Oreochromis niloticus: one gene and its partner. The main gene of each other region encodes a partner of the protein of the gene in region 2 in a complex. Links are inferred from orthologs where the notes say so. Each region holds a gene or a part of one and is shown on either strand. Other genes may lie near its edges.

Evidence for each region. Proteins that work in one complex are often made in the same cells at the same time.
Region 1: the proteins of pigs (region 2) and pigu are in contact, whole or in part, in a cryo-EM structure (PDB 8IMX), measured with the Homo sapiens proteins. The link is inferred for Oreochromis niloticus from reciprocal best matches to the Homo sapiens genes PIGS and PIGU. Residues at the interface, in NP_149975.1 of Homo sapiens: Ala4, Gly5, Ala8, Thr9, Glu12, Arg15, Arg18, Ala19, Phe22, Phe23, Val26, Leu30, Leu34, Trp35, Thr38, Thr39, Leu510, Leu511, Phe513, Ile521, Tyr522, Leu525, Phe526; in NP_536724.1 of Homo sapiens: Gln118, Phe282, Glu283, His284, Phe285, Leu287, Phe288, Phe289, Cys291, Val292, Phe293, Ile295, Phe299, Tyr300, Ile302, Pro303, Ile306, Lys307, Lys309, Glu310, Thr417, His418.

Annotation. Positions count from the first base shown.
Region 1 is NC_031970.2:5,252,235-5,260,018, reverse strand, and holds the start of pigu (phosphatidylinositol glycan anchor biosynthesis class U protein), read right to left. Parts: upstream 3,080-7,784; 5' UTR 3,023-3,079; coding exon 2,893-3,022; intron 1,479-2,892; coding exon 1,414-1,478; intron 480-1,413; coding exon 420-479; intron 1-419. Other genes in the region: psmf1 (proteasome inhibitor PI31 subunit), read left to right, coding at 4,791-4,919, 6,140-6,292, 6,950-7,032, 7,397-7,594. UniProt on the Homo sapiens protein: Component of the glycosylphosphatidylinositol-anchor (GPI-anchor) transamidase (GPI-T) complex that catalyzes the formation of the linkage between a proprotein and a GPI-anchor and participates in GPI anchored protein biosynthesis.
Region 2 is NC_031975.2:13,898,391-13,905,346, forward strand, and holds the start of pigs (GPI transamidase component PIG-S), read right to left. Parts: upstream 3,023-6,956; 5' UTR 2,880-3,022; coding exon 2,861-2,879; intron 1,563-2,860; coding exon 1,423-1,562; intron 1,311-1,422; coding exon 1,199-1,310; intron 1,115-1,198; coding exon 1,025-1,114; intron 917-1,024; coding exon 825-916; intron 615-824; coding exon 374-614; intron 297-373; coding exon 154-296; intron 70-153; coding exon 1-69. Other genes in the region: aldocb (fructose-bisphosphate aldolase C-B), read right to left, coding at 6,795-6,887. UniProt on the Homo sapiens protein: Component of the glycosylphosphatidylinositol-anchor (GPI-anchor) transamidase (GPI-T) complex that catalyzes the formation of the linkage between a proprotein and a GPI-anchor and participates in GPI anchored protein biosynthesis.

The DNA of each region.
Region 1 (7,784 bases), on a different chromosome or scaffold from region 2:
AACATGAGAGGACAAGCACGCTCCTGGTGTCTCTGCTGATGCCTTTGGACTTCAAAACTGTGGACTGAGACTGAAACCTGCCGTTCAGGTTCTGGGTTGTACTCGGAGAACCAGCTCTCATCAACATCTGCCTCAACAAGGTTTGTGGGAGGCTTTACAATCAATTTGATCACATTTCAGATTTTAACCACCTTCTTCTTTAGGGGTTGTCACAATCATCTGCCTCCATGTCACCAGATCCCTAACATCCTCCTTCACTACATCTATGAATCTTCTCTGTGGCCTGGCAGCTCTTGTCCAACACGCATATTCCCTATCCATCCTCTGCACAAGTCCGCTCCACCTGAGCCGTCCCTCTCCAGTAATGAGACTGCCTCCACTACAAAATGCTTCAAAATGATGTTTTTATTCAGACTCACCATAAATGTGATCTCTGCGTAGTCCACCAAAAAGTGAAACATGTAGATGATGAGAGGAGTCTGAAAGGATCAGAGCAGAAGGAGAATTCAACATGAACATCTAAACATCAACATGCCTCATTTGTGGATTTTCTGCTGACTCAGATCTCAGTTGTAGAAATACACCATCTATGAGGTCCAAGCATGTAATGGAAAAATCAAGAACCAGGAGCAACTGAAACATCCGAGCATGTCTAAATAATTAAATAAGACATTTATTGTCCGTTTTCCACCAACACGGCACCCGAGCAGAGCAACTTCAGTGCTTTCTGAGAAACAGCTAAAGGTCTTTTTGGTGGAAATGCATGAAACTAGTTTTAGACTGAGCACCGGCACCTTGTTGGTGAAATGTGACATTCGAGAGGTGGTTTACAGATGCTACTCATCCTCCGAGTCTACCAACGGGCAGCCTTCTTTTGCTGATTGACTCTTGTGTTCTTTATTTAATACATTTTGTGTTTGTTGAAGTTAATTTTCTATCTCTGTGAACAAAGTTTGATGCGTTGACTTTTGGGCACCCCGATCTCGCTCTGGATGTTTTAGAGTATCGTGCCCTCCCCTCTTAGAAATCTTCGGTCCAGCCATGGCCCGACTCTGAGGAAGCCCCTCCTCCCTCAGAAGATCTGACTCTGACACTTTCACTTTGTTCTGATGATGCAGTTCTCACTATTACAATGCTGCTCAGTAAGCAAAGTTTTCACCTGGGTGTTACCTGAATGCTGCTTCAATGGAAATCTGACGTTTTGTAGAAAGAAGTTAAAGTTCCCTTCCACTGTGATGGTTCACCACGAAATGAGCAGAATCTGGAATGTTTCGTCTTTGTTTTCCAGACCATCTCCTTCTAATTTTCTGATTATTTTCAGGTTCATGTAACAAATATAACCTTCAATGTTCACACACACTTTGTAATAGGTGTGTGTGTGTGTGTGTGTGTGAGTGAGAGAGAGGGATTCACCTCATGGAAAACATCTCCAGAATATGGTGAAACTCCCAAATCAAGCAGAGCCAAACCTTCAACAACTGCAGAGAAACAGCAACAGAGAAACAGTTTTATTAAGACTGCTTGATTACAATAAAAATCACAACCACAATTATTTTGGTGACTATGGAAAATGTTTATTTTTGCATTTATGGAACTTCAACTTGGTGAATTTGGTCTGACATTTCGAGAGTGAAGCTACATTTTAAACCATTTTCACTCTATTCCACTATCATTAGAAGCCAAAATCATAAATGATGTTAAAATCTCCAACTTTTATTATTTTTTACCAGCACTGGGCTGTTATCTTTGAATGCCTCCTCTTGAAAGTAGCAGTTCCACAGCTTCCAGTTACAACTGCCTAATGAAAAATGCATGAAATGTTTCTGTGTGAGTCTCACAGCATGTTGGTCATGTTTTCTGTTTTACAGAAAAAGCTCAGATTGTCTGCAAACCTGCACCTCTGGCTCCTGTCAGGTACTGTGTCATCATATGCTAAATGGAAACTTAAACACTGTCCACTAACATTTCACAAATTCATCTAAAACAAAACCTTTGTCTGTGGTAACTAATGGAAAGCTGATATAAATATGTCAAATAATAAAGTCAAATCAGCGAGTGCCTCCCACTGTGAACCAGTTGATTTTTTTTGTACATTAATTATTTTCAGATATTTACTGGCCATCGAAGCACATGGGGTGGGGGTATGTGCATTTTCTCCATCACTTTGAGCCCTCATAACTCAACGATTACAGAAGAGGTAGTCAGTTGCTAAGGGTCAATTAACCAATTATTCATGGGGGTGTATATATATATTTTAGCCTGTTTGTATACTTTTGTCCAAATTAGGGTGTCTGCACAGTGGTGCAACTGTTAGCGCTATCACCTCACAGCAAGAAGGTCATGAAGGCAGGGGCCATGTGCCTGTTAGTGGTGATTTTAAATTGGCTGTAGCTGTGAAAATGAATTTTTAAACACTTGCTGATGTAACATTATACACACGTCAGCCAGATGTTTTACAGGTGTAACGTCTACGTTACTATGCGCAAATGACCCCGTGGAAACTAATGTGGATCACAGGAGGATTTAAAGGGGTCCACAAATACTATAGACTGTGCAGATCTTTGTTCAGCCGCTGGCAGAGACTCTGGTCGTCATTACTACTAGTGGTCGATGGATGTTTGACAGAGAAACAACCACTGAGCTCCATTCATTGGAAATAACAAAGAAACACTTGTTTAAATCTTCCCCTACAGAAAGTAAAAAGTATCCGCTGTTAGCTTAATGTCAGTAAAACATCATCAAGCTTTCTGAATTTGAATCTCAGCTGCTGATTTTCGCAGCTGAACCGGTTTGACCGAGTTACCGGATAACAGCACCGATGAGAGGGAGGTGAGGGGACCCGGACGTGAACCGACCGCAGCGGCTCCAAACCGCCGCTGGACCCGCGCTTACCTCTCTTCCAGGCGGTTATCGGCGACACCACCTCCACCCTCTCTGCAATCAGCTCCGCCAAACTGGACCGGAACAGAGCGGCACGGATCGTAACGGCCACAATCAACAGCAGAGTCAAGGGAGCCGCCATCTTGACAAGGAAGCGCTGTCCGCCCTGCGAGGTGCACGACGGGAAATGAAGTCTCCAAATGTGTAGGAAGGAGAGAAGGAACCACAAGTCCAGATAAATAAATAAATAAATAAATAAATGTACTCTAAAGCAAATGCTGGAAATTAAAGAAAAATTTATATAGAAATATGAATATCAAAAAAATAGACATACAGATAATGGGTGCATGTGTTATCTTTTTACATGTTTGCTTGATGTCAGCTGAGGATTCATTTTACATGTGAAACACACTCTGACAGACAGGACAAACACACAAAGCGGAACAATTGTTGTCCTATACTTGTTTTCATCCGGAGACTATTTGTGTTGGATCAAAACAAAAAGCCGTACACAGTGAGCCACTACGCTTCCGCTAACCGTGCGGTTATTTCAAAAACAAAATTGACTCTGTTAAAAAACATAAATTTACTTTTTTCTGATCAGGTTAGGGTTCATTAAAATAGCTTCACACAAAGAATACAATAGCAAGCATAAAAATGCCATCTGAAAATTCATCAACTGACATTTTGGGGTCAAAGATCTCAAACTTAAATGAGCTGTGGGCCACTGCTGGCACTGTCATCTCATCCGAGGGCCACTTTAGTTTTCAAGTGGTACAAAAACTAACAAACAAGAAAACACCCACAAATATCTTAGAAAATGTAGTGTTAATTTGTTCGTTTGGTTTTTTTTATTTCAAATATTGTATAAAAAGGCAAAACTGCAAACGTGAATGTATTTTTTCCCTCACTCTTCATTAACTGAAGCCTTTCATTGAACTACCAAATAAACAAATTGGTACTCTCTTTCTGGCCAGACACATGGCAGCACTTCTGCCATAATTTTGTTCATATTTGACAAAATAAAAATGCAGACATCAGTGTACACATTGGTTTTTGACTGCTAGTGAAAATTGTTAAATAACTCTCTCACTAAACCAACAAAACCAATCCCTCAACATGTTTGTACTCTCTGTTCATGTTGCCTTCATATTAAATCATTTTTAAATATATAAATATATATAAATAAATACGTTCAAGGGCCAAATTGCATTATAATTCTTCATGTCAACATATGGGCCCAAAGTAGATGTGACGTGGGTCACAAGTGGCCCCCGGCCCGCGGGTTTGAGAAATCCTACTTTAGATTAACAGTTATACAGAGGTATAGGCTCTATTAAGATGTAATGAATTAAAGTAGGGAAGATTTCAACATTATTACAGTTAACCCAAACAAAATAAAAAATAAACCCAGGTACGAGAAAAATATTTTAGTTTGGTGCATTGGTGCACATGTTTTGTAAGGCTGAGAAACGCAACACTTCATGTCTACATGACATGAAGTGTTGAGTGTGTATTTTATTACTTCGGCTAAATTTCCCTCTTACAAATACCCCCACATTATAGTCAAACTAACCCAGAAACTAAGAAAAACTAAACTGAATAAGAAAACCTAATCTGAGAGCGAATCAAAATGAAACGTAATTGAAGCTAGAAATAATAAATGAAATAGAAATAAAGAGCAATGAAAAAAGTTAATACCTCACATAATATCACTGGATATTTTTATTTGCAGATAGGTACCGTTTGGTCAGCTCTCTGGTGCTTTTAAACTGAAAAGCCGCGAAGCGGAAATGGTTCCTGTTGCTTGGCACCGAACTGCAGCTTGACTCAGTGAAGCTGCTGGCCAGACTTTCGTTTTCATTTCTTTTGCCTGAAACTGTACCGATGTTGGCAGATTGAAGGAAAACATGGCTGGCTTGGAGGTGTTGTACACCTGTGTCGCAGGTAAGATAACCTGCCCGCAGGACGCCGTTGTGTGTTTTGTTCACTGGGAGCTGGTAAAGAACGGATACAGGTGCATCGGCTCAGGAGACGAGGTGAGTTCGCTTATTTTAGCTAAATCTTGTGTTAAATTATCCCACATAATGGAGAAGATAATATTTTCTTTTTTCATCATTCTTACGCCAAATTGAGAAATACAAATTAAATATTAGCAAAAAGATTCTCTATATGTGGTTTTCGATGTTTTTCGGACCGTAATGTCCAGTAAATGCTTAAAATGTCGGTTTTTGCAGTGGAGTTCTGTATGTAATATTCAACGTAGATTAGCTATAGCTTCATAAACAAGCATCACCTCCTGTGTGAAGCCGACGTTAACGCGAAGAATTTAAAAGTGTGAAAAATGCGTTTTCGGTTTCTTTAATCCAGCTGTCATGGCTGATATTCAGTTTGACGGCATCTGGTTTAAGAGCGACAATTTACCAAAACTGTCATGTCATCTTTAGCTGGCTAACCCACTGGGGGCAGTCATCCTGAAACACCACGGGAGTTTATGACACAGATTCGTGTTAGTGTGCAGCCTTGCTATCCTCCATCCTCTCCCCATGTTCATTTTACAGAAATCAACAGGTAATCAGTAGTATTTTTTTTTTTTTTTTAAATGAAGCATTTATAATGGGATTTAACGTGAAAAGGGAAGCGTTCGGCATCTCTCTGTGATTGTTTTATATAAAATCACTCTGGAATGACACCTGCCATTTAGTAAACAGGAAGAGTAAGTGACCCACTTATAAAATGAAACATTTTTCTTTATTTTGAACATGATGATTTGGTGAAAAGGTGTTTTTTTTTCTTTAGATATAAATAATGACAAATTGTTATGCACCTAAAAAATGAACTCACTCTACTGGATTTTTATGTGTATCATTATTGTTGTTATATTTACTTTTTCCACATTAGTTTTTTATTTTATTATGTGTAATTTTTACGTTATTGACCAATTTTGTTTTGTCACATTTTAATTATAGAGTTGATCTTGTTTATGTTAGCTAGTTTTTGTCTGTTTTACTGCAGCAACACAAGAATCTGCAGTTTATTTACAATTTTTTACAACAATCTTACCTTTGTGATGAGATTAGTATATGTCATATCTAATAATAGCACATATTTCTTGCTGTATATTTTAAGTATTGTTTTGTTATTTGCAGTGAACTGGCCAAATACTGATAACAAATATTGTGAAAAGAAAAAGCAGGTTTCTGCTGCTGCTTTTAGGTTTTTATCTGTCTTCACGGCGTCTGTGACCTTCTTCCTCCAGGCCCGCAGCAGTGATAAGAAGTCCGAGCTGCTGCCTGCTGACTGGAGTAACAACAAAGAGCTATACAGTCTGCGATACAAAGCCAACAACAGTGACACCCAAATGCTCCTCAAGGCAATCACTGTTGATTCCACCTTGATCTTCAATCTGATGGTAAGCACATAAACATTTGTAGGACTGGTCTCATTAGTTTTCTAGATAATGGCAATTTAAAATAGTGCCTTAAAAATGTTGGTAGTGTGTGGGGGTTTTCTCTCTATTAATGACAACAGAAACCTGAAACTTTGCATAACTCCCCTTAAGAAGAAGAATTTTTCCTCTGGATTATTTTTTCATTGGAGAACTGACATAGACTGTGCAGTTTATCCTGCATTTCAGTCCTGATGTAGGGATCCATGAAAAGCCTTAAAAGGGATCAAGTCTGATTTTCTAAATTTGAATCTTACTGTTCAGAGCAGACATCACTGCAGCCAGGGGTGAGGTCGCAAACACTTTACTTTTAAATTTGTATTTTTTTTTCGGTCCAGTCGAGTTTGTATCGATTAAAATGTTTAGATTAGTTTAGTGTTTAGTTCAGTGCTAGTTTTAGTTTTTGTCATTCATATACAGGTCGTATTACTGCACCGTAAGACTGGAGAAATGTAGATCTATGCAAAGATCTGACACACAGTTGTGTAAACTAAGAAAATATGATTTAGGTTGAGTTTACTATTTGCTGGTTTGTTGAGATATTATTCTACATGTTAATCTATCCTTTTAATGGATCGTGTGTGTGTGTGTGTGTGTGTGTGTGTGTGTGTGTGTGTGTAGAACTCCAGCACGCAGCAGGTGTCAGACTTAACGGTGAACATCAACGACCACGTGAACACTGACCAGCTACACACATTTGACAGGTTATTTTATTGAGCTGCTCTACTTTATTAAGCTTTTATTCTATTGACTTATGTTGTTATGATTATTTTAATTGTTGTGTTACTATTTTGGATCCTGTATAAATAATAATAAAATATGCCTTGTCCTCAGCCTGCCTTATACGGTTGTCTCAGATTGACCCCACCGACTTGTTGTTCAAATCTTTTATTTGTTGGAGAAAGCCTATTATAAAAAGGTTGTCTGAAAGGGAGTTTGGCCTTGAAGGGCAGTTTGTTTGATAACTAAAGATTATTTTGCATTGTGAATCATGCTGAGCTACTCTGGTAGTCAGAAAATAAAAATATAGAGCTGGAAAATAAATAAAGTCATCTCTCTTCTCTGCAGTGTGTTCAAAGATGCAGACAGTTTGTCGGAGAAGGTGAAGACTCAGCTGCTGCCCCCCCAGGACAGACCGACAGGACAGAGAGCAGAGAGGAAGAGTCGGCGGGATGAGGAAGAAGAGGAGCAGAGAAGAAGAGGAGAGGACAGTGACCCCCTCCGCATTCCCAGCAGGAATCCTCGCCAGGGGACACACCCTCACTGGTTGGTGATGATATAAACTGTGCATGCAAAACTTTACCACAAAACTCAGATTTATTCATAAACTTATCATTAAATATGTACATTTTAGAGGCAAATATTGTCACGTGTGACACGCAGTTACATATTTGTAATTTTCCTGGTTTCTCTCTCTTTTGCATTTGTGGAAAAAAGAGGATACTGCCTGAAACTA
Region 2 (6,956 bases):
GTTGAGCGTGTAAGCCTCGAGGCTGCTGTCAAAGCGCGGGGTCACTCCGAGCATGGTGTAGTACAAGGTCTGTAAAAAAGGAAAGGTTAACCTTAACTTCCAATAATTGAGCATCTTTTCTTTGTCATAATGGGGACTGCGCATTAACAGCACCTGAGAGTCGATGCTAAAGTTAGCCAGAGGGGACAGTTTTGTAAGCAAAGGCTGGATGTATGTCTGCACGGCACCCTCAATGTCCCAGTGCAGCTGGTGAGACTTTGGATCGGGGTTCAGGAGACTGAATGTGATCTCATAACCTGACAGGAAGATAAGAACAATCAGAGAAAAGATGCAAACGTGTTCTCAGAGTTAAACCTGGAGCCGAATTACCAACCTGGGCTAGATTTGAAGGCTCTCATGCTGTCAGCAATGCTCTCTTTGTTGCCAGGTCTAAAACGGACTCTGTCGCTGAGTGCAACGGTGATGTCAGTGTGGCTAAAAGACATCACTTGGAGCACCTGCTTGATCCGGGGCTCCAGCTGAGCCAGCAATTGCTCTAGTGTCTTGCCCACTCTCATCTGGGCACTGATACGCACCAGGGCTGTCCTTCGCTGACCGATATACACATTCACATCCTGAAAGGCATGAAGGTGCAGTGCATACTTTATTATCTTTGTCTTACCTGGAATATAACAGATAATTCATTCTGTTTCAAGCTTTGCAGATGGTACTGTATTTACACTCCGTGACAGTAAATTATATTATCTTCATTATCCTTTTTTTAAATAGTAATTAGCATGGAGTGATCACACTCATGAAATAAAATAAAAAAGCTTCAGTTTTACCTCAGGCAGCAAAGAAGAGGACTCCGGGATCACATACACAACTAAAGAACCGCACGGGCTCTCACTGAGCATATGCAGAGACAGATCTGCCTCTAAAGCAGAAAAATTAGCGTGATTATCAGCTGTGCTTTCTTTGAGAAAAAATGTCAAATGTCAACATCTGAAGTACCACAAGTTGGATATGATAGACTGCTGCTCACCTGCAGCAGTCGGCTTTTTCAGGGCATCTTCCTCCATGATTGTAGCTGTGCGGTACTTTGTTTCATACCTGTACCTCAACGTTGTGTCCTCTGGAAAGAAAGTTTGAGAGTCAAACAACCTTGCAGGCTTCATATTCTGTAACCGCAGAATTATAAACTGCACGAGCAAATCACCATCCACTGCATGTTCCTCATCCTGCGTCTGCGTTAGCGGGACCTTTTTCTGCTGTTCTGGCGTCACGGTGCCGCGTGCAAACACAACCTCGACATCAGCGCTCAAATGCAGCTGCAAAATAAGAAATAACGTAGAGAGAAGAATGTTTTTAAAAAGGTATTACACAGGGAAAATCAATCAACTACAAGGCATGAGAGATGTAATAAATGGAAACACTAAAAACCTGCAGTTTAGCCAGATCTTTGATCTGACTGACAGGTAACCAGGCACGGTACGTCTCAGTTGTTCGCCACCACAAAGGGACTCCCACAATGATGACAACGGCTGCTATGGATAGAGCAGCAAGCTGACCTCGTCGACGCTCTGGGAGACAAACACACAGTATTGTTGTTTGAAAGATTTTCACTGATGATAAATCTTCTAATTAATCTATCAATTAAAAACCAAGTACATTAAAAATTCAAGTATACATGTGAAATACACCCATCTTAAATTCAATAACAGCTTAATGGATTGGATTTCATATAGCGCTTTTCAAGGCACCCAAAGCGCTTTACAATGCCACTATTCATTCACTCTCACATTCATACACTTAGCTTAGTTAAAATAAATACTGTTTCACATTAAAATGACTAACTGTAACAATCGATCTATTACCAAAATAACTGCAAAAAAAAAACTTCGTTTAAACAGATAACTGACCAGTTATTTCAGCTCTAAATGCCAACATTCAAACCTAACTTGGGATTCAGGCTAAAACAAAATCAGATCATTTATATAAGCACTGGCAAACATAATCAGAGTTTACCATGGTGTTTAAACTAAAAAATACTCCATTGTTAAAAAACAAAATATTTATTTTTTATTCTCTTCTGGAAATCATTGAACAATATATTAAATATAATATATTAAAATAGGTTACACACACTCACTGGCCACTTTTTTAGTCACAATTTGACATCAACAGCATAAAAGTAGGGCTCCACCTTGTCTTGTATCAACAGTACAGGCATCTAGTGGTGTGACTGCTGTGGGGGATATGCTCTTGGCCCCTTAGCACCAACTGAGCCTCGTTTAAATACCTGAGTTATGTTGCTGACCATGTCCACAAGGGGTGGATATGGATCAAATCCAGTAGTCTCATGGTGTACCTAATAAAATGTCCGGTGACTGTATATCATGACAGAGGATTTTATCCCAATCCTTGACCCCTACGTACCCTCGATATGTCCAGACTGGTGACCACTGACTGAGTAACACATTTGCATCTGTGTCTATCATGCTGCATCAACTACAGTGCCTTACATGGTTGTAAACGAGGTTCAGTGTAAACATTAGGCATGTTACTGTCTTTTGTGGAAGCTTTAATATCGTAAGTATTCCTTTAATTAAAAATATATATTTAAAAAAACAAAACAAAAACAAATAATGTAGTAAACAGCAGGTGTTCTTGCAGTGTCAGGGCATCACCCCTGCAACTGCGGCTAGCTAGCCATTAGCTTCAAAGGGTCATAACATGGAGAAAACGGCTCCTGTTAGTCCGCTATGGTTGCACTCTGTACAAAGGTTCATGTTTAATAAATCTAACGTAAACCAATGAAAATTAAACACTTAATAAGAATTAAATCATTTACACTCATTTCAGTTACGAATCTACTCACCCACTTCCGTGATAGCCATTTCTTCCAATGAACTGGGAGGGAGCGCTAGTGGATGCCAAGCAGCCAGCAGCACCGATCACATGACCGATTTTTAAACGTATCTAAGCGGTTCTTCATGTGCGGGCCAAAACAGAACCGTGATTCATACACATAGCTTACATTAAATTAAATATGATCAAATATTTGCATATACACCTGTCTGTCCGTAAAATTCTAAAAAAGAGTGTTAGGGCTGTACGTTGTTTTGTAAAGGAGTGCAGAAGCGGAAATGACCGTCGGCGCACCCTGTAAAAGAATTAAACGCACAAACACACTGTGATAAATGTGGGCATTCAGCGCCACCTGTGGTAGCTTTAATTACGACAGGCTCAATTCATGTTTGTGAATGCATAAATTTCCCGAGCAACCACTAAAAGTGAGTAAGCTTAGTGTTATTTACACGATTAAAACATATGATCCTTAGTCTGCTGCCCCAGCAGCATGCCCGCAACATGTGGAAAAACAAGTCCACCACAGCCCTGCACTCACTCTCGCTCATGCATCCAACCACCACAGACACATTATAAAACTTCTGAAGATACCAGAAGTTCTGTCAGGTAAGGACACTAGAGGGACATCCACTTGCATCACTGTCATCTTCCTCAAGCTGTCTAGTAAAACCCTAATCTGATCTGTTAACCCTGGGATGTTTTATGGAAGTTAGCCAGGGCGCTCAAGGACACCCCAGAACAGGCAATAAGGGAGGAAACAGCTGCTCTCTCAGTTATGTATTTACCCTGATCTGATTTGTCCAGCTGGTCCTGGTGTGAAACGGATGACCTCATTACTTTTAGGTCAGCTTTGTTAAATTTGGGTGACTTGTGTGGTGACCCTTGGACACTACTGGACACCACAGATACCCTTTCATAAAGTGCTTATTTCATCTAAATAATTTTAAGAAACTGGTAGCCTCCGTACTGCTAGTGAAAATGGTAATACACATCTTTTGGACCCAACATAAGGTACACTTTAGACCTCATGAACTTTTTGGACCCCATTTTGACTTCAGAGCTGTCATAATTCTTTGTTGCATAAATTCAACAAGGTGGACATGGTCATCAGCAATACTGTTAAAGCTGTGATGTTTAAACAATAGCCAAAGTGGGCCAAGAAACTATCCTACACACCCTTACACCACCAGTTAGAACTGGTGATACAAGGCAGGATTGATCGGTGCTTATATATTGTTCATGCCAAATTCTGATCCTTTCATGTGACCATAGCAGCTGAAATCAAGACTGTCCAATTTTGGTGAGCCTGTGCCAATACAGTTTTCTCAAAACATAATATTTGCTTTCATTGTTATCCAGACGACTGTCAAGTTTATTTTCCACTGAAGCACACGGCTGAATGCTCTGTCCAGCCTCTCCACGACGGCCTTATCGATATCAGGAGATGGATGGTGATAAATCACTTGAATTTTAATGAGAACAAGATAGAAGTCACGTTGTTTAGACTCAACGACACCAGCAGCAACCCCCGCATTGACCTTTCCTCTATGGCCCCATATGAGAAATCCATTATCACTAATTTAGGAGTGACAATGGATCCTTCTCTAAAGCTCAAAGCTTATGTGAACACTGTAGTAATAGCATGCTATTTCCAATTGAGTTGACTGTCAAAGGTCAAGCCACTCTAGTCCAACCTTGAAACATTTATACTTGCATTTTATAACCTCTCGTCTCAATTACTGCAATGCACTTTTCATTGGAATCGGCCAGGCCAGTTGCTCACCTACAGCTGGTGCAAAACACTGCCGATCGATTTTTATCTGGTGCAAGGATGCAAGAGCACATCACTCCAATTTTAGCTTCCATTCACTGGCTTCCAGTTAGTTCATGAATCCATTTTAAAAATCCTTTTGTCTCTTAATGATTCTGCATCATTTTATGTCTGAGCTGTTGCACTCTTATGTCCCACCTCGTTCTCTCAGGTCAGCAGACCAGAGACTTTTGCTTGTTCTGAAGACACAACGTAAACACAGAGGTGACGGGACTTTCGAAGTTGCAGCTGCAGAATTGTGGAACGATTTTCTATATTTTTTTTTTTACCTTTTGGTCTGAGTTTGTCTTTTACATTTGGTGTTATTGTTCAACCCTGTAGTTGTTTTTAAAAGGGCTTTATAAATTCACACAGACTCACGGTCCACTGAAATAAGTTTCATCTGGTGTGGTCTTCTGCTGCTGTAGCACATGTCCTTCAAGCCACGTGATGTGTAGTGCATTCAGAGATGCTCTTCTGCATACCTTAGATATCGAGTGGTTATTTGAGTTACTGCTGCCTTTCGATCAGCTCAAAGCAGTCTGGCCAGTCTCCTCTGCCATCAAAGCATTAGCATCCAGAGAAATACTGCTCACTGGATATTTTTTCCTTGTCTTTTGGACCAGTTTGCGTAAACCCTGACCAAAGTAATATCCTACGTGCTACATTCTGATCTTTAGCTTTAACTTCAGCAGGTCATACCTACACGCCCTGAGCTGCTTCCATGCAACTGGCTAGCCAATCTGCAAGACTGAGCGCAAAACACATGAATTGGACTCAGAAAGGGGGTACATGTAGGCATATATACGCCTCCAGGAAACTGAAAATAAAGTTTAATTATGCAGATTAGTGTTGGCTATTTAATGTCAAATCATGATAAACTGATTGTGTTAAGATAATGATATCAACCAACTAAATATAGTTAAATACTCAAGATTTCTCTAAAATGTAGAGGCATTAAAGATTCTAAATAATGAAGTAGCAATATTTGACTAACATGCATAACTCTGTCATCGCCAGTATCAGGACAGGTGTAGAAAATTCCATCACACAAAAGCATCTGATGTTTTAAGGTTTTAGTTTATTTTTCTCCACTATTAGACACACCAAGTGCTTAAAGAACAGTATTAACACCACAAACGGCACAGTACTCCAACACAGCAGCGACCGTTTCCCCGCTGCTGACCCCACGCCATTGGTCCATTTAATGTGAATGTCGATAGAAACTAGTCTGGTCGTTCGGTAGGGCAGGCAGGGGGGAAATCAGGTGGGAGGATGACACACTAGCATCACATAATATTGACACCTTCACACAACTGAATACATTGATTACTGCATGTAATTTTAAGCTAATGAACAGACACACAAGGTGGTTGTTTTCAAATTCAATAATGGTGATAAGGAGCACAAGAACAAAAAAAGAGGAAGAATCCTGGTGTGTAGTGGCTTATTACAGTATAATGTGCCTGCTAACGTCTGCTAGATATACAGCTGTCTGAAAGCACAACAGAGCACTCCACGCTTTTGTTCAAAAGATCAACTCGGCTCAACATTTTCACCTCGTCTGCCCTGTCGCTCCTTAACGCATGTTCTGATGCTACTAATAAGCAGTTGGTCCCACTTGGTGTCAGTGCGGATGTTAGTAGAGCGTTTCAACAATGAACCAATGCTGTTCTGACAGAAGCGAAACACTGACACAAACATGCTGATCTGGCCTGCTTGGGAGCGATTTGATATTTTGTGTGAAGTGGGGAGAGGGGGTAAGAAAGCACCTGACATTAGAGACAAGTGTGTGAAAGAAGGAATGTGGAATGAATACTGACTAAACATTTTTGATTATCCTCCAACCGTTTAACTTCAAATTGTCTCAAAACTGTAACCGTTTGTTGAAACTGGGGGGGGAAAAAAAAAGAAAAAAAAAAATTAAAACAGACAGACGACCCAAGTCTGTTTCCTTTTAGTACTGTGATGTCACATGATGGTTTCAAATACACATATCTAATAATGTAACTTTAAGAACTCTAAAGTAAAGCAGACAGCACAGGCCTGTGATTGATGGAGGAGTGAAGAGGGGAGATAGCAGAGCAGATATAAGACTATAACTACACCACAGCTCAACGTGGTAGTTTGCCGTTTAATAGGCGTGATTAGCCACGTAGAGGGACTGGGCTGCGGCGGTGCCACTTCCGGAAGACTCGTACTTGCCGAGTGCAGCCAGACCGTTAGCCTGGAGAAGAAAGAAAACAAAACAGACATAAGCAATAGAGCAAATAAAGGTTATTTTTAAAAAAAAATT